Saccharomyces cerevisiae S288C: one gene and its partners. The protein of the gene in region 1 purifies or fractionates together with the protein of each later gene. This does not show direct contact. Each region holds a gene or a part of one and is shown in the gene's direction. Other genes may lie near its edges. The genes, in order: CPR6, HSP104, QNS1 and URA2.

What was found.
Region 2: the proteins of CPR6 (region 1) and HSP104 purify together in Saccharomyces cerevisiae (affinity purification with mass spectrometry; 3 studies listed by BioGRID). This does not show direct contact.
Region 3: the proteins of CPR6 (region 1) and QNS1 purify together in Saccharomyces cerevisiae (affinity purification with mass spectrometry, with the first as the bait; 2 studies listed by BioGRID). This does not show direct contact.
Region 4: the proteins of CPR6 (region 1) and URA2 purify together in Saccharomyces cerevisiae (affinity purification with mass spectrometry; 5 studies listed by BioGRID, with this or other methods). This does not show direct contact.

What each region holds. Positions count from the first base shown.
Region 1 is NC_001144.5:571,584-574,902, reverse strand, and holds CPR6 (peptidylprolyl isomerase CPR6), read left to right. Parts: upstream 1-1,691; coding exon 1,692-2,807; downstream 2,808-3,319. Other genes in the region: MSC3 (Msc3p), read right to left, coding at 1-752; COA4 (Coa4p), read left to right, coding at 985-1,437; cell proliferation protein CDC123, read left to right, coding at 3,045-3,319. UniProt on the Saccharomyces cerevisiae protein: PPIases accelerate the folding of proteins. It catalyzes the cis-trans isomerization of proline imidic peptide bonds in oligopeptides.
Region 2 is NC_001144.5:86,642-91,866, forward strand, and holds HSP104 (chaperone ATPase HSP104), read left to right. Parts: upstream 1-1,981; coding exon 1,982-4,708; downstream 4,709-5,225. Other genes in the region: Fe-binding Fe/S cluster assembly protein ISA1, read left to right, coding at 762-1,514. UniProt on the Saccharomyces cerevisiae protein: Required, in concert with Hsp40 (YDJ1) and Hsp70 (SSA1) and small Hsps (HSP26), for the dissociation, resolubilization and refolding of aggregates of damaged proteins after heat or other environmental stresses.
Region 3 is NC_001140.6:244,223-248,888, forward strand, and holds QNS1 (glutamine-dependent NAD(+) synthetase), read left to right. Parts: upstream 1-1,970; coding exon 1,971-4,115; downstream 4,116-4,666. Other genes in the region: oxysterol-binding protein related protein OSH3, read left to right, coding at 1-1,350; PPE1 (phosphoprotein phosphatase methylesterase 1), read right to left, coding at 4,217-4,666.
Region 4 is NC_001142.9:166,320-174,067, reverse strand, and holds the start of URA2 (bifunctional carbamoylphosphate synthetase/aspartate transcarbamylase), read left to right. Parts: upstream 1-1,700; coding exon 1,701-7,748. Other genes in the region: TRK1 (Trk1p), read left to right, coding at 1-469. UniProt on the Saccharomyces cerevisiae protein: Multifunctional protein that encodes the first 2 enzymatic activities of the de novo pyrimidine pathway: carbamoylphosphate synthetase (CPSase; EC 6.3.5.5) and aspartate transcarbamylase (ATCase; EC 2.1.3.2).

The sequences.
Region 1 (3,319 bases):
TGACTTTCGCTTACTGGGGAATATGGCTTTTCGTTATCTGTTTCGTTTTCCTCGATTATATCGTGAATGTTATCACTAGCTTGTTCCTCTAAAATGTCGTCATCTTGCAACATGTAATTTTCACTAAATTCATCGAAATGACGCTGCGAGTCACCTAATGGAACCAAATTCTTAGTCGTAGTCGTGGTTTCTACGTATTCATACCCATTTATTTTTCTTATTGTCTTTTTGGTAATTGATTGAGTCCTTCCTGAAGGGTCTGTTACTTGTGTAGTCTTTACGGTAATGGAGTTGGCCCTTGAATCGTTATTGTTGCCGGCCGTCGATTTGTTCTTACCGTAGTTTCTTCTGACATTCGCACCAGACGTCATAGAATTCATACGGCTCCCATTAGTAGTATAACCGGGCGGGTGTAAATGGTACTCTCCGCTCCTTTGCGACCTCAACGAGTAAGTCTTCTGTGAATACTGCTTAGCTGCTGCCCTGGACGTTGGCGGAGCGGCAGAGGATGTGGAAAGCCTTCTTCCTGGGCTCTTTACCGAACTTCTTTGTCTCGGTATTGAAGGTGCATGACTAACCAGCGAGTGCGACCTTGAGTAATTGGTTCGATCCGGTGATGCGGCAGAAGCAGCAGAGGCAGCAGCAGCAGAGAGCTGAGGACTTTTGTTATAATCTTCATGGTTCTGATAGTAGTAATCATACCTAGATAAATCAGGTACCCTCCTGTCCCTCTTTGTAAAACCAAATACCATTTTCAACTTTCTTGATCAACAGAATGTCTTTGTTTGTTTATTCTAGTGAAAAAATAGAAGTAAAAAGCAATCAATATAAGCAACGTGAAACGATCGAAGGAAACTAAAAGAGGTTTGATGTTAGAAGAATTGATTAACACCAAATCAAGCAATTTATTGAAGTATGGGTCCCTGATGTTTGTCCTTCTCGTTCTTGCTTTCCCTCCCCTCTTCTCATCCATTCGCTTCATTTATGCTTTTATTTTCTTCTTTTTTTTCTCACAACAAATGTCCGAAACAAAAAAAGGGGCCTCAGCCATTAAAGGTAGTGAAAGGCACTTCTAAGAGTTGCGCCAAACAAGGGAAGATTAAAGGGAAAGAAAAGCTCTGGCAGGCTAAAACTGGCAGACTGGTCATGAGTGAAACTGGCGAAACTTCAGAGTATTATAAGCAGGCGCTGGAAGAATACAAAGAGGTCCAAGAAGACGAAGACCCGGATGTGTGGGACACGAGAATATCCAAGACCGGATGCTACGTAGAGAACCTCGCATTACAGCTGTGCCATGCCGAAACAGGTGACTGGAGGCAGTGCTTCAACGAGATGGCGTTATTTAGGAAGTGTTGGGAAAAGAATGGTAATAGAGAGCGCGTAAGCACAGTGGACGTGGATGGGACGACCAGTAAGGATTCGGAAAAGAAGAAATGAAAATCTAAATGTCGTGATGTATAACTTGTATATAATAGACAGCTGCAGTGATCGAAACACATTGTTTCCCTTTATAGAACATAACTGTTACGCTTTTGAACGGCATTTCTATGAGCTTCTAGAATATTTTTCCGCCCTAGCTGGAGAAAGTTCAGACAGAAAATTATTTAAATAAGTCGAATATCAGAGGTGCTGATGCGCTCACATCACATAGAAAACTGGTAAGACAATATTCAGGCGATCAAGGAGTAAAAATGACTAGACCTAAAACTTTTTTTGATATTTCTATTGGAGGTAAACCCCAAGGCCGTATAGTTTTTGAGTTGTACAATGACATAGTGCCTAAAACGGCTGAAAATTTTTTGAAGTTGTGTGAAGGAAATGCTGGTATGGCAAAGACTAAACCTGATGTACCATTGTCGTACAAGGGTTCCATTTTCCACAGAGTGATCAAAGACTTCATGTGTCAATTTGGTGATTTTACCAATTTTAATGGTACTGGCGGTGAGAGCATATACGATGAAAAATTCGAGGATGAAAATTTCACTGTTAAACATGATAAACCATTCCTTCTATCCATGGCCAACGCCGGTCCAAATACCAATGGATCTCAAGCTTTCATAACCTGTGTTCCTACACCTCATTTGGACGGGAAGCACGTTGTGTTTGGTGAAGTGATTCAAGGTAAAAGAATTGTTCGTTTGATTGAAAACCAACAATGTGACCAAGAAAACAACAAGCCATTGCGTGATGTAAAGATTGATGACTGTGGCGTGTTACCTGACGATTATCAAGTGCCAGAGAATGCCGAAGCTACACCAACAGATGAGTACGGCGATAATTATGAAGATGTTTTAAAACAAGACGAAAAAGTTGACTTGAAGAATTTCGACACCGTCTTGAAAGCTATCGAAACGGTAAAGAACATTGGTACTGAACAGTTCAAGAAACAGAACTATTCCGTGGCTTTAGAAAAATATGTCAAATGTGATAAATTCTTGAAAGAGTATTTCCCAGAAGATTTGGAGAAGGAACAAATTGAAAAAATCAATCAATTGAAAGTGTCTATTCCATTGAATATTGCCATCTGTGCTCTTAAATTAAAAGATTACAAGCAAGTATTAGTAGCCTCATCGGAGGTGTTATATGCCGAAGCGGCTGACGAAAAAGCCAAGGCCAAAGCTTTGTACCGTCGTGGCCTGGCCTATTACCATGTTAATGACACAGATATGGCTCTCAATGACCTAGAAATGGCCACTACTTTCCAGCCAAATGACGCTGCCATTTTGAAAGCTATTCATAATACTAAATTAAAAAGAAAGCAACAAAACGAAAAAGCTAAAAAGTCTCTTTCGAAGATGTTCTCCTGATTACTTGCATTATATATATGCTTATATGTTTAAATACTAAACAGTTGCGCTGCCTCAGTAGTTAAGTAAAAAGTACGTAGAAAACTCTGTTAAAAAAATTATTTTTTCAGGCATAATAAGCGGATATTTTCCGATGTCCATTTATGCAGTGGGAAGATTAAGAAGCTAATGATACCGTAACTCCACCAGTGAAACTAAAACGTGCGTCCAAAAAGCGCTGACATAAATTACTTATTGATGTCCTCACAAGAATATACAACTTTTATAGATATACCAGTGACAAGAGCGCAGGTTGAACACTGTTCTTACTCGTTTTGGTCCTCACTGTATCCCAAATATGTGCCAAAATCCATAGTGTTAAAATCCTTACCGAAAAAATTTATTCAATATTTGGAACAAGACGGTATCAAGCTACCCCAAGAGGAAAACTCCAGGTCTGTGTACACCGAGGAAATAATAAGAAATGAAGATAATGACTATAGTGATTGGGAGGACGATGAGGATACCGCCAC
Region 2 (5,225 bases), 480 kb from region 1:
GCTCAAAGGGCTCGATAACGACATAGCATTATAGACACTGTGCAGCGTAAAGCTGACATATAAAGAAATTACAAAAAAAAATTAAAAAAAAAAAAAAAAACAATCAAAAAAGACACACAACTACAGAACAAAGGAAATCTTTTTCTATGCACAAGCACAAGAGTACTTAGAGAGTAGTGATATCCCCTTTTTTTTCTACTATTTTTTTTTTTCCCATTTTTTTCCTCCAAGACTCCTCTTATGTGGTTGTTATGTATAGCCCATAGTTACTAAATAAAACACTAATTAATGATTAATAATCCCTCTCTAATAAGAAATAGATAAAAGCTATTGTTCTTCTCATCGCCGGTTCTCGGCGTTGTCCGTACCCTTGGCCGAAACTCGGGCGGGGGCTTATTAGTCATACCCTCAGATTTCATTGGTCAGATAACAGTCACCCGGTAAATGCCCGTTTAATGACTTCTTTATTTTGGATTAAAATTGACAGGGAATTTCAACGGAATAAAGGAAAGAGATTGAGATGCTTTTAATTCATAAAGGAAAGGGAAAGAGGACAGGAAAGCAAGGAAGAGTAATGGAATTTTGCAAATATTTGTAAATCCTTTAGAATTACTAAGAAACTGTTATTTATTGACATTATTTTACTCGTCTTATTTATTTATTTATACATTTGGCCACCATTTTTGCACTCGTACGAAAGACCATTTTAGATTTTTTTGATTTGGTAGTATAACAAACGATCGGAACAATAACGTAACATAATGATAAACACAGGAAGAAGCAGGAATTCAGTACTGCTGGCACACAGATTCCTTTCAACTGGAGGATTTTGGCGAGGCGGTACGAATGGCACAATGTCTCGCACAATCAACAACGTAAATCCTTTCAAATTAAAATTCATACCGAAGACAGTGCCCGCAGCTGCAGACTCTGTCTCTCCAGATAGTCAACGTCCAGGTAAGAAGCCCTTCAAATTCATAGTTTCCAATCAGAGCAAGAGTAGCAAGGCTTCTAAAAGCCCGAAGTGGTCGAGCTACGCATTCCCTTCGCGTGAGACCATCAAATCTCATGAGGAGGCCATCAAGAAGCAGAATAAAGCTATAGACGAGCAAATAGCTGCTGCAGTATCCAAGAATGACTGCTCTTGCACAGAACCTCCCAAGAAAAGAAAGAGGAAATTGAGACCAAGAAAGGCGCTGATCACCCTGAGTCCGAAGGCAATCAAGCATTTAAGGGCACTGCTAGCTCAGCCGGAACCTAAATTGATTAGAGTTAGCGCTAGAAACCGTGGATGTTCAGGACTAACGTACGATCTACAATATATCACCGAGCCGGGGAAATTCGATGAGGTAGTAGAACAAGATGGCGTTAAAATTGTCATCGATTCAAAGGCGTTATTCAGCATCATTGGAAGTGAAATGGACTGGATCGACGACAAGTTGGCCTCTAAGTTTGTCTTCAAGAATCCAAACTCCAAGGGCACATGCGGTTGTGGCGAGAGTTTCATGGTTTAAAAACCTTCTGCACCATTTTTAGAAAAAAAGAATCTACCTATTCACTTATTTATTCATTTACTTATTTATTTACATATTTATCATACATATTAACATTGAACCCTCCATCGTGGTAGTGTTTGCTGTTCCTAACTTTTCTTTCGTTGTTCTTGTAGATATATATTTTTCCAGAATTTTCTAGAAGGGTTATTAATTACAATCTTAAACGTTCCATAAGGGGCCGCGATTTTTTTGTTCAATTTTCAACAGGGGGCCCATCTCAAAGAACTGCAAATTATATCACAGTAAAAGGCAAAGGGGCGCAAACTTATGCAACCTGCCAGATTATTATATAAGGCATTGTAATCTTGCCTCAATTCCTTCATAATTCGTTCCTTTGTCACTTGTTCCTTTTTACCCTTGAATCGAATCAGCAATAACAAAGAAAAAAGAAATCAACTACACGTACCATAAAATATACAGAATATATGAACGACCAAACGCAATTTACAGAAAGGGCTCTAACGATTTTGACGTTGGCTCAAAAATTGGCTTCGGATCATCAACATCCACAATTACAACCTATACATATTCTAGCTGCCTTCATTGAAACGCCAGAAGATGGATCAGTCCCTTACCTACAGAATCTAATTGAGAAGGGCCGTTACGACTATGATCTTTTCAAGAAAGTGGTTAATAGAAATCTAGTAAGAATTCCTCAACAGCAACCTGCACCTGCGGAGATAACTCCAAGTTATGCTTTGGGGAAAGTCCTTCAAGACGCTGCTAAGATTCAAAAACAACAGAAGGACTCATTTATAGCGCAAGACCATATATTGTTTGCTCTATTCAATGATTCGTCTATTCAGCAAATATTTAAGGAAGCTCAAGTAGATATTGAGGCCATCAAGCAACAAGCTCTTGAACTTCGTGGTAACACTAGAATTGACTCTCGTGGCGCTGATACGAACACACCTTTGGAATATTTATCAAAGTACGCCATTGATATGACTGAGCAGGCTCGTCAAGGTAAACTTGACCCTGTCATCGGCCGTGAAGAAGAAATAAGAAGCACTATTAGAGTTTTAGCAAGAAGAATTAAGTCCAACCCATGTTTAATTGGTGAGCCAGGTATCGGTAAGACCGCTATTATTGAAGGTGTTGCTCAAAGAATCATTGACGATGACGTTCCCACTATCTTACAAGGCGCTAAATTGTTCAGTCTAGATTTGGCCGCATTAACCGCAGGTGCTAAATACAAAGGTGATTTCGAAGAAAGATTCAAAGGTGTTTTGAAGGAAATCGAAGAATCAAAGACTCTAATTGTGTTATTCATTGATGAAATTCACATGTTAATGGGTAATGGTAAGGACGACGCTGCTAACATCTTGAAGCCAGCTTTGTCCAGAGGCCAATTGAAGGTCATCGGTGCCACCACCAATAACGAATATAGATCTATTGTGGAAAAGGATGGTGCCTTTGAAAGAAGATTCCAGAAAATTGAAGTCGCTGAACCAAGTGTGAGACAAACAGTGGCCATATTGAGAGGTCTGCAACCAAAGTATGAAATACATCATGGTGTAAGGATTCTGGATAGCGCCTTAGTCACTGCTGCTCAATTAGCCAAGCGTTACTTGCCATATAGAAGATTGCCAGATTCTGCTTTGGATTTAGTTGATATTTCTTGTGCTGGTGTCGCCGTCGCAAGAGATTCTAAGCCAGAAGAATTGGATTCCAAGGAACGTCAATTGCAATTGATTCAAGTAGAGATAAAAGCTCTAGAGAGAGATGAAGATGCCGACTCCACCACTAAAGATAGATTAAAGTTAGCTAGGCAGAAGGAAGCTTCATTGCAAGAAGAATTGGAACCTCTAAGACAACGTTACAATGAAGAAAAGCATGGCCATGAAGAATTGACACAAGCTAAAAAGAAATTGGATGAACTGGAAAACAAGGCCCTTGATGCTGAACGTAGATATGATACTGCTACCGCCGCTGATTTAAGGTACTTCGCCATCCCAGATATCAAAAAGCAAATCGAAAAGCTTGAAGATCAGGTTGCTGAGGAAGAGAGACGTGCTGGTGCCAACTCCATGATCCAAAATGTGGTCGATTCAGACACCATTTCTGAAACAGCTGCAAGATTGACTGGTATCCCTGTTAAGAAGTTGTCAGAATCTGAAAATGAAAAATTGATTCATATGGAACGTGACTTATCATCTGAAGTCGTGGGCCAAATGGATGCCATTAAAGCTGTTTCCAATGCCGTTAGATTGTCTAGATCAGGTTTAGCTAATCCAAGGCAACCAGCATCCTTCTTATTTTTAGGTTTGTCCGGTTCCGGTAAAACTGAATTGGCTAAAAAAGTTGCTGGATTTTTGTTTAATGATGAGGACATGATGATCAGGGTCGATTGTTCTGAATTAAGCGAGAAGTATGCGGTCTCTAAGTTGTTGGGTACCACGGCAGGTTATGTCGGGTACGATGAAGGTGGCTTTTTAACTAACCAACTGCAATACAAACCATACTCCGTTTTGTTATTCGATGAAGTAGAAAAGGCACATCCTGATGTTTTGACTGTCATGCTACAAATGTTGGATGACGGTAGAATTACTTCTGGTCAAGGTAAGACGATCGACTGTTCCAATTGTATTGTCATCATGACTTCCAATCTAGGTGCTGAATTTATCAATTCTCAACAAGGATCAAAGATCCAAGAATCTACCAAGAATTTGGTCATGGGTGCTGTTAGGCAACATTTCAGACCAGAATTTTTGAACAGAATTTCTAGTATAGTCATTTTCAACAAGCTATCTAGAAAAGCTATTCATAAGATCGTGGATATTCGTTTGAAGGAAATTGAAGAGAGATTCGAGCAAAATGATAAACATTACAAGTTGAATTTAACTCAAGAGGCCAAGGACTTCTTGGCCAAATATGGTTATTCCGATGATATGGGTGCACGTCCACTGAACAGGTTAATTCAAAACGAAATTTTGAACAAACTGGCACTAAGGATCTTAAAGAATGAAATCAAGGATAAGGAAACTGTCAATGTCGTCTTGAAGAAGGGTAAATCTCGTGATGAAAATGTTCCTGAGGAAGCTGAAGAATGTCTGGAAGTTCTACCAAATCACGAAGCTACTATAGGGGCTGACACGTTAGGTGATGACGATAATGAGGACAGTATGGAAATTGATGATGACCTAGATTAATTTAATATAGTGTGATTTTTAAAAACTTTCGAACAAGAATCAGTAATATAATATATATAATTAATAAAACTAATGGAATTTGTTTAATTGAACTTGACACCCGAGCAAAAGAGCTCACATTTTAACGTTTAGTTCATCTTGCTGTGAATAATCTAAAAGTAAACAATGGACAAAAAAGTCCACTGGACGTCAAATCTTTTTTTATTGTATTTGGGACATATGGCGTTGATAACTAAAGTTTAAAGGAAGTAATAAGTGAAGGTTAAATCTGGACCTCTTTACTTTCATATTAGAAGTATAAAACACACGCGGATTGGTCCATTATTAGAATACGGGTACTACAATAATGGTTTTGATAGTTACTGTACATTTGAATGTAGCGACTCATATGACTCATATATATGACTACCAAATCATGTTAAAATTAGTATATCTTTAACTTAGACTTCAGTACTATCTGAACTGCACGTTTAAATTTTTACCATAGCAGTTCATGTAATATTAATAATCACTTGTG
Region 3 (4,666 bases), on another chromosome or scaffold:
AAAAGTGACCAAAATGAGTTCACAAAAGAGGTCCAATTGTCGGGATCCGAACAGATAGCTTCATCAAGTGTGGAGAGCTATACAACTAACGATGAAAATCATAGCCGTAAACACCTCAAAAATCGTCACAAAAATCGTCGCCGTGGCCACCCTCATCATCAAAAAACCAAAAGCGCCCAATCCTCAACAGAAACATTTACAAGTAAGGATTTGTTTGCTCTTTCCTATCCAAAGAGTGTTACACGCCGTAATGACATACCTGAAGCTGCAGCTTCTCCGCCAAGCCTATTATCTTTTTTGAGAAAGAATGTAGGCAAAGATCTGAGCTCTATTGCCATGCCAGTAACCTCAAATGAGCCTATTTCTATTTTGCAGTTGATATCAGAAACATTTGAGTATGCTCCACTTTTAACGAAGGCTACCCAACGTCCTGATCCTATAACCTTTGTTTCTGCATTTGCTATTTCCTTTCTTTCCATATATAGGGATAAAACAAGAACGCTAAGAAAGCCTTTTAATCCTTTACTGGCTGAAACATTTGAACTTATACGAGAAGATATGGGGTTTAGGCTTATATCGGAAAAGGTCTCACATCGTCCTCCAGTATTTGCCTTCTTTGCAGAGCATCTCGACTGGGAGTGTAGTTACACTGTAACGCCATCGCAAAAGTTTTGGGGTAAGTCTATTGAATTGAATAACGAAGGTATACTGAGATTGAAGTTTAAGACAACTGGAGAACTATTTGAATGGACGCAACCAACAACTATTTTAAAAAATTTGATAGCGGGTGAGAGATATATGGAGCCTGTCAACGAATTCGAAGTACATTCTTCGAAGGGAGACAAATCACACATCCTGTTCGATAAGGCAGGTATGTTTAGTGGAAGATCTGAAGGATTTAAGGTTTCGATAATCCCACCACCTTCGAGCAATCGCAAGAAGGAAACTCTAGCTGGTAAATGGACACAGAGTTTAGCTAATGAAACTACACATGAAACTATATGGGAAGTAGGTGATTTAGTTAGCAATCCGAAGAAGAAATATGGCTTTACTAAATTCACCGCAAATTTGAATGAGATAACTGAAATTGAAAAGGGCAATTTACCACCTACGGACTCAAGATTAAGACCAGATATTAGAGCTTACGAGGAGGGAAATGTTGATAAGGCGGAAGAGTGGAAGCTGAAATTGGAACAACTTCAACGTGAAAGACGTAATAAAGGGCAAGATGTGGAGCCTAAATATTTCGAAAAAGTATCTAAGAATGAATGGAAATACATAACTGGACCGAAGAGTTATTGGGAAAGAAGAAAGAAGCATGATTGGTCTGATATTTCTCAACTCTGGTGAATGCCTTGATGACATCAAGTGAACTTTTTTCCCCCCTTTGTACTCTATTTATTTTCCATCTTTAATGATCATCCACACAAATTACTTGTATATGCGTTCATGTATAGTATACTATATACAACATGAAGGACTTTATAAATTCTTGATCAATCTTTCACACTAATTTTATATTAACAGTTCTACACTATTTTTGTTTGCTTGACTGTAAAAACATTCTATTTTATGATTAGTTGCAAAACTTGAAAAAAACAATAGAATTTCATCACATAATTGAAAGATAATGAACTCTTTCAGTCAGTTAGATCCATGTTTTTTGAAGAAAAGTTTACGAACACAGGATCTTACAAAAGGTGCCTAAATTTGGAATTGAAAGTCTATTGCTATCAAAACTTGTCAAAGATAACATAGCTTGGAACATCTTATCCTTTATATGTCCTGCTAAGTCATATCAAGAGGCCCCAATAGTTTCGTCGAAAAAGATAAAGAGGAATATGGAAGGGAAATATAAGATTATCAACTGGTTACCTCAAAATAGACTATATGCTCACATCATCAATTGATATTGCTTGTAAAAATACCCCCAAATACCCTGGCATTCTTTTTTTGACTCCCTGCCAGTAATGTCACATCTTATCACTTTAGCTACATGCAACTTGAATCAATGGGCCCTAGATTTTGAAGGTAATAGAGACCGTATCCTACAGTCCATTAAGATTGCCAAAGAGAGGGGTGCCAGGTTACGTGTCGGCCCAGAACTGGAAATAACTGGCTACGGATGTTTAGATCATTTTTTAGAAAATGACGTTTGCCTTCATTCATGGGAAATGTATGCTCAAATCATTAAGAATAAAGAAACCCATGGATTAATACTTGACATTGGTATGCCCGTTCTACACAAGAATGTTCGTTATAATTGTCGTTTGTTATCCTTGGATGGTGAGATATTGTTCATAAGACCTAAGATTTGGTTAGCTAATGATGGTAACTATAGGGAAATGAGATTTTTCACACCTTGGATGAAACCTGGCGTGGTGGAGGACTTTATCCTTCCACCTGAGATTCAGAAAGTTACCGGCCAGAGACTTGTGCCATTTGGGGACGCTGTGATAAATTCATTGGATACATGCATTGGTACAGAAACTTGTGAAGAATTGTTTACACCTCAATCCCCCCACATCGCCATGTCTTTAGATGGTGTGGAAATCATGACAAACTCATCTGGTTCTCATCATGAACTGCGTAAGTTAAATAAAAGGTTAGACCTAATTTTAAATGCCACTAAACGTTGTGGTGGTGTTTACTTGTATGCAAATCAAAGAGGTTGTGATGGTGACAGATTATATTATGATGGCTGTGCACTAATTGCCATCAATGGTACAATTGTAGCCCAAGGTTCACAATTTTCGCTAGATGATGTGGAAGTAGTTACTGCTACTGTGGACCTAGAAGAGGTGAGGAGTTATCGTGCAGCTGTCATGTCTCGTGGCCTACAAGCCTCCTTGGCAGAAATAAAGTTCAAGCGTATTGATATTCCTGTAGAATTGGCTTTAATGACCTCCAGATTTGATCCTACAGTGTGTCCAACAAAAGTCCGCGAGCCTTTCTATCACTCTCCTGAGGAAGAAATTGCACTGGGACCTGCTTGCTGGATGTGGGATTATTTAAGACGTTGTAACGGAACAGGGTTTTTCCTTCCCTTATCTGGGGGCATTGACTCTTGTGCAACTGCAATGATTGTCCACTCTATGTGCCGTTTAGTGACCGACGCTGCTCAAAATGGAAATGAGCAAGTTATCAAAGACGTTCGTAAGATAACACGTAGCGGCGATGATTGGATTCCAGACAGTCCACAGGATCTAGCCTCAAAAATATTTCACTCCTGTTTCATGGGTACGGAAAATTCATCCAAGGAGACAAGAAACAGAGCAAAGGACCTTTCCAATGCAATTGGATCTTACCACGTGGATTTAAAGATGGACTCATTGGTATCCAGTGTGGTGTCCTTATTCGAAGTAGCCACTGGCAAAAAACCAATATACAAAATATTTGGGGGATCTCAAATCGAGAACTTGGCTTTACAAAACATCCAGGCGCGTCTAAGAATGGTTCTTTCTTATCTTTTTGCGCAACTGTTGCCGTGGGTTCGTGGTATCCCAAACTCGGGTGGATTGTTAGTACTTGGTAGCGCAAATGTTGATGAGTGCTTACGTGGGTATCTAACAAAATATGACTGCTCCTCCGCAGATATCAACCCTATTGGGGGTATTTCAAAAACTGACTTGAAAAGATTCATTGCCTACGCATCAAAACAATATAACATGCCAATCTTGAATGACTTTTTAAACGCTACACCAACTGCAGAATTAGAACCTATGACTAAAGATTACGTTCAATCGGATGAGATAGATATGGGGATGACGTATGAAGAATTGGGCGTGTTTGGTTACCTAAGAAAGGTTGAAAAATGTGGTCCTTATTCTATGTTCTTAAAACTTCTTCATCAATGGTCCCCAAAGTTAACACCTCGTCAAATATCTGAAAAGGTGAAAAGATTTTTCTTCTTCTATGCCATCAACAGACACAAGCAAACTGTTTTAACTCCTAGTTATCATGCTGAACAGTATTCACCAGAAGACAACAGATTTGACTTACGTCCTTTCTTAATCAACCCAAGATTTCCATGGGCTTCAAGAAAAATTGATGAAGTTGTCGAGCAGTGTGAAGCACATAAAGGCTCAACGCTTGACATTATGTCTATTGATTAGCACAGAAGAAGTGCTCACAGCAAAATAAGACTTTTCCACGAGTTCATATATTCTGTTATTTATTCTATCATAAATAAAGATATAAAAGTGATATTTAACCCTTATGTATTTTGCACGGTTTTGTGTTGACCCCAATTAGTCTTGATTACTACATTCCTAGAATCGTTCCGCTTCCAGAAATCAATTAAAGTGATTGCTGTTTTTATAGGCGAATCTTCTTGAATGAAATGCCCGGAATCTTGGAAAACTACCAACTGATATTTACCTTGCATTTGCCCCACAATTAATTCTTTATCGAGATTTTCGTTTCCCGCCAATATTAATAATTTACTAACAGGTAAGCCAACAAAGGAGTGCGACAGATCGGTAAACCATGTGTCCCAGAAAGGGCTAAAGGTCTTAAGGTTTGTTATCCTGACAACTTTCCCTGACTTGAGCGGAGCAAATAAAGCTGGTATAGCAATTTCGGCGCTTGACCTCAATCTCGATAACGCGTGTTGAACGTGCCAATCGACAGCGTCATTAATTGATTCAAATACATTGGGTGTATT
Region 4 (7,748 bases), on another chromosome or scaffold:
ATTTGACTTGTGGTTTCTATTTTTAGGGTTATTTATCATTTGCATTTGTGAAGGGGACAAGATAAAGGACGTACAAGAACCAAACTTTAATATATTTGCAATTCTTTTTGAAATTGTTAGCGCTTACGGTACAGTTGGGCTATCGCTAGGTTATCCGGACACCAACCAATCGTTTTCAAGACAGTTTACTACATTATCTAAGTTGGTGATCATAGCTATGCTGATCAGAGGCAAGAATAGAGGTCTACCATACTCACTGGATCGTGCAATTATCTTGCCTAGTGATAGACTTGAACATATTGACCACCTTGAGGGCATGAAATTGAAGAGACAGGCTAGAACCAATACAGAAGACCCAATGACGGAACATTTCAAGAGAAGTTTCACTGATGTGAAACATCGTTGGGGAGCTCTTAAGCGTAAGACCACACATTCCCGAAATCCTAAAAGGAGCAGCACAACGCTCTAACATATATACTCATTCTTTAGAAATAGGTTTTCGTACTCAATATTTAAGAAGGTAATTAAGCATTAAAAGGATTTTTTTTTTTTAACCTTGATTAGTAACATTGTGATATACATTTGCCTACGTACATTTCTGATGTCCTAAGATTTCTTTCTTTTTTTCGGTCCCTTAAAGACAACCGAATCTCTCTACGATAATGTACGACATACAATGTCCAAAATGGTGCTTTCGTCATCGTCAACGCCATTAGTACATTGTCCCTCTTTTCGTGAAAAATGAAAAATCTTGGTTATTTGCAGTGTACATGGAATATGGACTTTTTTTTTTTCTCTGTGGCCCGCCGGTGTTCTCCGATGAATATTAAAAGAAATGTCACACAAACGCAATGACTCTTTTTTCCCTGGCCTTGAAAAAAAAAAAAACGGTAAAAAAGTAGGACAAATGGTATGGACAAAAAGTATAAATACTTTGACAAAATCCCCACTCATCGATTTTACTCAGAGAGAGAATCCTCTCTTTCCTTCTCTATTTTGCTCAATTAGTATAATATCATATCTAGTATGTTTTAACTACACCAATTTTCTTTCAAATTATCGTCTTTCCTAATGGTCTTGTATTTTTATCTTATTCTTGATTGTAGAAAATAAAAAACCTGTCGACAACAACCACAAACAAAAGGTTTCCTGAACATTTTCTCTACGGAAGCACTTGAGAAAGAATTGAGGAATACCGCTATATCTAGCCAAAAAAACTTATAAATACTTCTACTCTTTTGTTAAAGACTCACCACGTTCAACTTTGAATTGAAAGAAAAAGGAAACATTATAATCCGTTAGCATTCAAATTTGAGTATGTTTTTTATGATTACTTTTGAGAAGCCTTAATGTTGCCATCTATTCAGACCATGCGATGCCAGTCGCAATATCAGTGGGCGCGTATTTTAGTATCTGGGCGTGGAAAATAGAAGCCGTTTGACTCTGCGATGATGTCGTTTTTCATTACCTGGAATAGGAAAGAAAAAAAAGAAAGAAAAAAAAAAGAAAAGAATCGCAATTGATAGAGATCTTCATGGCACGAAAGCAAATCAATCTCTTCAATTAGTTCTGATTTTATATCGGCATCTGGCTTGAACGATCAACAATTACTAACATTAATATTAACGACGATAGAAATCCATAACTAATTGCAGCATACAACACATAAACCTTACCTAATAGAATATAACAATCATAATATGGCCACTATTGCTCCCACTGCTCCAATCACCCCTCCAATGGAATCTACGGGTGACCGTCTGGTTACGTTGGAACTTAAGGACGGCACGGTCTTACAAGGTTATTCATTTGGTGCTGAGAAATCCGTCGCTGGTGAATTAGTTTTCCAAACTGGTATGGTTGGTTATCCTGAATCTGTGACCGATCCATCTTATGAAGGCCAGATCTTAGTCATCACTTACCCATTGGTAGGCAATTATGGTGTCCCAGATATGCACTTGAGAGATGAATTGGTCGAAGAATTGCCAAGATATTTTGAAAGTAATAGAATCCATATTGCCGGTTTAGTTATTTCTCACTATACCGACGAGTACTCTCATTATCTTGCTAAATCTTCCTTAGGTAAATGGTTACAAAATGAAGGGATCCCAGCTGTTTATGGTGTTGATACAAGATCATTGACCAAGCATTTGAGAGATGCAGGTTCAATGTTGGGTAGGTTGTCTTTGGAAAAAAGCGGCTCTGACAGAACCATCTCCAGATCTTCCTCTTGGAGAAGTGCGTTTGATGTTCCTGAATGGGTGGATCCAAATGTTCAAAACCTAGTTTCTAAGGTCTCCATCAATGAACCTAAATTGTACGTTCCTCCAGCAGACAATAAGCACATCGAATTGCAAACCGGACCCGATGGTAAAGTTTTAAGGATTCTAGCCATTGACGTGGGTATGAAATACAATCAAATTCGTTGTTTTATCAAAAGGGGTGTAGAATTGAAAGTTGTTCCATGGAACTACGATTTCACTAAAGAAGATTATGATGGTCTGTTTATTTCAAATGGTCCAGGTGATCCATCTGTTCTAGATGATCTATCTCAAAGATTGTCAAATGTCCTGGAGGCTAAAAAGACGCCAGTATTCGGTATTTGTCTCGGTCATCAATTGATAGCAAGAGCTGCCGGTGCATCCACCCTAAAACTAAAATTTGGTAACCGTGGTCATAACATACCTTGTACATCAACTATAAGTGGTCGTTGTTACATAACATCTCAAAACCATGGGTTCGCTGTGGATGTTGACACTCTAACTTCCGGATGGAAGCCATTGTTTGTTAACGCGAATGATGACTCTAACGAAGGTATCTATCATTCTGAATTACCTTATTTTTCCGTCCAATTCCATCCAGAATCCACACCTGGCCCAAGAGATACAGAATTCTTGTTTGACGTTTTTATCCAAGCAGTTAAAGAATTCAAGTATACACAAGTGTTGAAACCAATCGCTTTCCCAGGTGGCCTATTAGAGGATAACGTTAAGGCACACCCTAGAATCGAAGCGAAGAAGGTTCTAGTTCTCGGTTCTGGTGGTTTGTCCATCGGTCAAGCTGGTGAATTTGACTACTCTGGTTCTCAAGCCATCAAAGCTTTGAAAGAAGAAGGTATCTATACAATTTTAATTAATCCAAACATTGCTACCATCCAAACTTCGAAAGGGTTGGCTGATAAGGTTTATTTTGTTCCTGTTACTGCAGAGTTCGTGAGAAAAGTTATTTTACATGAAAGGCCGGACGCCATTTATGTGACATTTGGTGGACAAACTGCTTTATCTGTTGGTATAGCCATGAAAGATGAATTTGAGGCGTTAGGAGTTAAAGTATTGGGTACTCCAATCGATACTATTATTACCACGGAAGACCGTGAACTCTTCAGTAATGCCATTGACGAAATTAATGAAAAATGTGCGAAATCTCAAGCTGCTAATTCAGTGGACGAGGCATTGGCCGCTGTCAAGGAGATCGGTTTCCCAGTTATTGTACGTGCTGCATATGCATTGGGAGGTTTAGGTTCCGGTTTCGCTAATAATGAAAAAGAATTGGTTGATCTATGTAATGTTGCATTTTCATCCTCACCTCAAGTTTTAGTCGAGAAATCTATGAAAGGTTGGAAAGAAGTCGAATATGAAGTTGTTCGTGATGCTTTTGACAACTGTATTACTGTTTGTAATATGGAAAATTTTGATCCACTAGGTATTCACACCGGTGATTCCATCGTTGTAGCCCCATCTCAAACTTTATCTGATGAAGATTACAATATGTTAAGAACTACTGCTGTTAATGTTATTAGACACTTAGGTGTTGTTGGTGAATGTAATATCCAATATGCTTTAAATCCCGTTTCTAAGGATTATTGCATCATTGAAGTTAATGCGCGTTTGTCACGTTCCTCTGCTTTAGCTTCTAAGGCTACTGGTTACCCATTGGCCTACACTGCGGCTAAGTTAGGTTTGAATATCCCATTAAATGAAGTTAAGAATTCCGTCACAAAATCCACATGTGCTTGTTTTGAACCTTCTCTAGACTACTGTGTTGTCAAAATGCCAAGATGGGATTTGAAGAAGTTCACCAGAGTTTCTACCGAATTATCTTCATCAATGAAATCTGTTGGTGAAGTTATGAGCATCGGTAGAACCTTCGAAGAAGCTATTCAAAAAGCTATCAGATCCACAGAATATGCTAACCTCGGATTCAATGAGACAGATCTAGATATCGACATTGATTACGAGTTGAACAACCCTACGGATATGCGTGTCTTCGCCATTGCAAATGCTTTTGCTAAGAAGGGATATTCTGTTGATAAAGTCTGGGAAATGACTAGAATTGATAAGTGGTTTTTAAACAAACTGCACGATTTGGTCCAATTTGCTGAGAAAATTAGTTCATTTGGTACTAAAGAGGAATTACCTTCCTTAGTTTTAAGACAGGCTAAGCAGTTAGGTTTTGATGACAGACAGATTGCAAGATTTTTGGATTCCAACGAAGTTGCCATCCGTAGATTAAGAAAAGAATATGGAATTACACCATTTGTCAAACAAATTGATACAGTTGCCGCTGAATTCCCCGCTTACACGAACTATTTATACATGACATACAATGCTGACTCACACGATTTATCCTTTGATGACCACGGTGTTATGGTCTTGGGTTCTGGTGTTTACCGTATCGGTTCTTCTGTCGAATTTGATTGGTGTGCTGTTACTGCAGTTAGAACATTACGTGCCAACAATATCAAAACTATCATGGTCAACTATAATCCAGAAACTGTTTCCACAGATTATGATGAGGCTGATAGACTATACTTTGAAACCATCAACCTTGAAAGAGTTTTGGATATTTACGAGATTGAAAACTCAAGCGGTGTTGTCGTATCAATGGGTGGTCAAACTTCCAACAACATCGCCATGACTTTACATCGTGAAAATGTAAAGATTCTTGGTACATCCCCTGACATGATTGATTCTGCTGAAAACCGTTACAAGTTCTCTCGTATGTTGGATCAAATTGGTGTTGACCAACCAGCTTGGAAAGAATTGACATCCATGGACGAAGCTGAATCTTTTGCCGAAAAGGTGGGTTATCCAGTTTTGGTACGTCCATCTTATGTGTTATCCGGTGCCGCCATGAATACTGTTTATTCTAAAAACGATTTGGAATCCTACTTAAACCAAGCCGTCGAAGTTTCACGTGATTATCCTGTTGTTATCACTAAATATATTGAAAACGCAAAGGAGATTGAAATGGATGCAGTTGCAAGAAATGGTGAATTGGTTATGCATGTTGTCTCTGAGCATGTTGAAAATGCAGGTGTCCACTCGGGTGATGCAACATTAATCGTTCCACCTCAAGATTTGGCTCCTGAAACTGTGGATAGAATTGTTGTCGCCACTGCTAAAATTGGTAAGGCTTTGAAAATTACAGGTCCATACAACATCCAATTCATTGCAAAGGACAATGAAATCAAGGTCATAGAATGTAATGTTCGTGCTTCGAGATCTTTCCCATTCATTTCAAAGGTTGTTGGCGTCAATCTGATTGAATTGGCAACAAAGGCCATAATGGGTTTGCCTTTGACGCCTTATCCTGTTGAAAAATTACCAGATGATTATGTCGCCGTTAAAGTACCACAATTCTCTTTCCCACGTTTAGCAGGAGCTGATCCAGTCTTAGGTGTTGAAATGGCCTCTACTGGTGAAGTCGCTACTTTTGGCCACTCGAAGTATGAAGCATACTTAAAGTCTTTGTTGGCAACCGGCTTCAAACTTCCAAAGAAGAATATTTTATTGTCTATTGGTTCTTACAAGGAAAAACAAGAATTGCTTTCTTCCGTACAAAAACTATACAACATGGGATATAAATTATTTGCAACATCAGGTACTGCTGACTTTTTATCTGAACATGGTATTGCCGTCCAATATCTGGAGGTTTTAAACAAGGATGATGATGATCAAAAATCAGAATACTCACTTACTCAACATTTGGCTAATAATGAAATTGACCTTTACATCAACTTGCCTTCTGCCAACAGGTTCCGTCGTCCTGCATCCTATGTTTCAAAGGGGTATAAAACACGTCGTTTGGCTGTCGATTATTCGGTTCCGTTGGTTACTAACGTTAAATGTGCAAAATTGTTGATTGAAGCCATTTCAAGAAATATCACTTTAGATGTTTCTGAACGTGATGCACAAACTTCCCACAGAACTATTACCTTACCTGGTTTAATCAATATCGCAACTTATGTTCCGAATGCATCCCATGTTATCAAAGGCCCAGCTGAACTGAAGGAGACCACACGTCTATTTTTGGAATCCGGTTTTACATACTGTCAATTGATGCCCAGATCCATCAGCGGACCTGTTATTACTGACGTTGCATCCTTGAAGGCCGCAAACTCTGTTTCCCAAGATTCATCTTACACTGACTTTTCTTTCACTATTGCTGGTACAGCACACAATGCTCATAGTGTTACGCAATCTGCTAGCAAAGTGACAGCATTGTTTTTGCCCCTACGTGAATTAAAGAACAAGATCACAGCAGTAGCTGAACTTCTGAATCAGTGGCCAACTGAAAAGCAAGTGATTGCAGAAGCTAAAACTGCAGATTTGGCATCGGTTTTATTGTTAACCTCCCTTCAAAACAGATCTATTCACATTACTGGTGTTTCGAATAAGGAAGATTTAGCTTTGATCATGACGGTCAAGGCAAAAGACCCTAGAGTGACTTGTGATGTCAATATTTATTCTTTGTTTATTGCCCAAGATGACTATCCGGAGGCAGTTTTCTTGCCTACTAAGGAAGATCAAGAGTTTTTCTGGAACAACCTTGATAGTATCGATGCTTTCTCTGTCGGTGCTCTTCCTGTCGCCTTGGCAAATGTCACAGGTAACAAGGTTGATGTTGGTATGGGTATCAAAGATTCATTACCACTATTGTTGGCTGCTGTTGAAGAAGGTAAATTAACCATTGATGATATCGTCCTTCGTCTGCATGACAATCCCGCTAAAATTTTCAACATCCCTACTCAGGACTCAGTTGTCGAAATTGATTTGGATTATTCTTTCAGACGTAATAAGAGATGGTCACCATTCAACAAAGATATGAACGGTGGTATTGAGCGTGTTGTCTATAATGGCGAAACATTAGTTTTGAGCGGTGAATTAGTTTCACCAGGCGCCAAAGGAAAATGCATTGTTAATCCAAGTCCAGCTTCCATAACTGCTTCCGCAGAGCTCCAATCTACTAGTGCTAAAAGAAGGTTCTCGATCACGGAAGAAGCAATCGCTGATAATTTAGATGCCGCGGAGGATGCAATTCCAGAACAGCCTTTGGAACAAAAATTGATGTCTTCAAGGCCACCAAGAGAACTTGTTGCTCCAGGCGCCATCCAGAATTTGATCCGTAGTAACAATCCATTCCGCGGAAGACATATATTGTCTATCAAACAATTCAAACGTTCTGATTTCCATGTGTTGTTTGCTGTTGCACAAGAACTAAGGGCAGCTGTCGCAAGAGAAGGTGTCTTAGATTTAATGAAAGGCCACGTTATTACTACAATTTTCTTTGAACCATCTACTCGTACTTGTTCTTCATTCATTGCTGCTATGGAACGTTTGGGTGGTAGAATTGTAAATGTTAATCCATTGGTGTCTTCTGTCAAGAAAGGTGAAACCCTTCAAGATACTATCAGAACTTTGGCTTGTTACAGTGATGCCATTGTCATGCGTCATTCAGAAGAAATG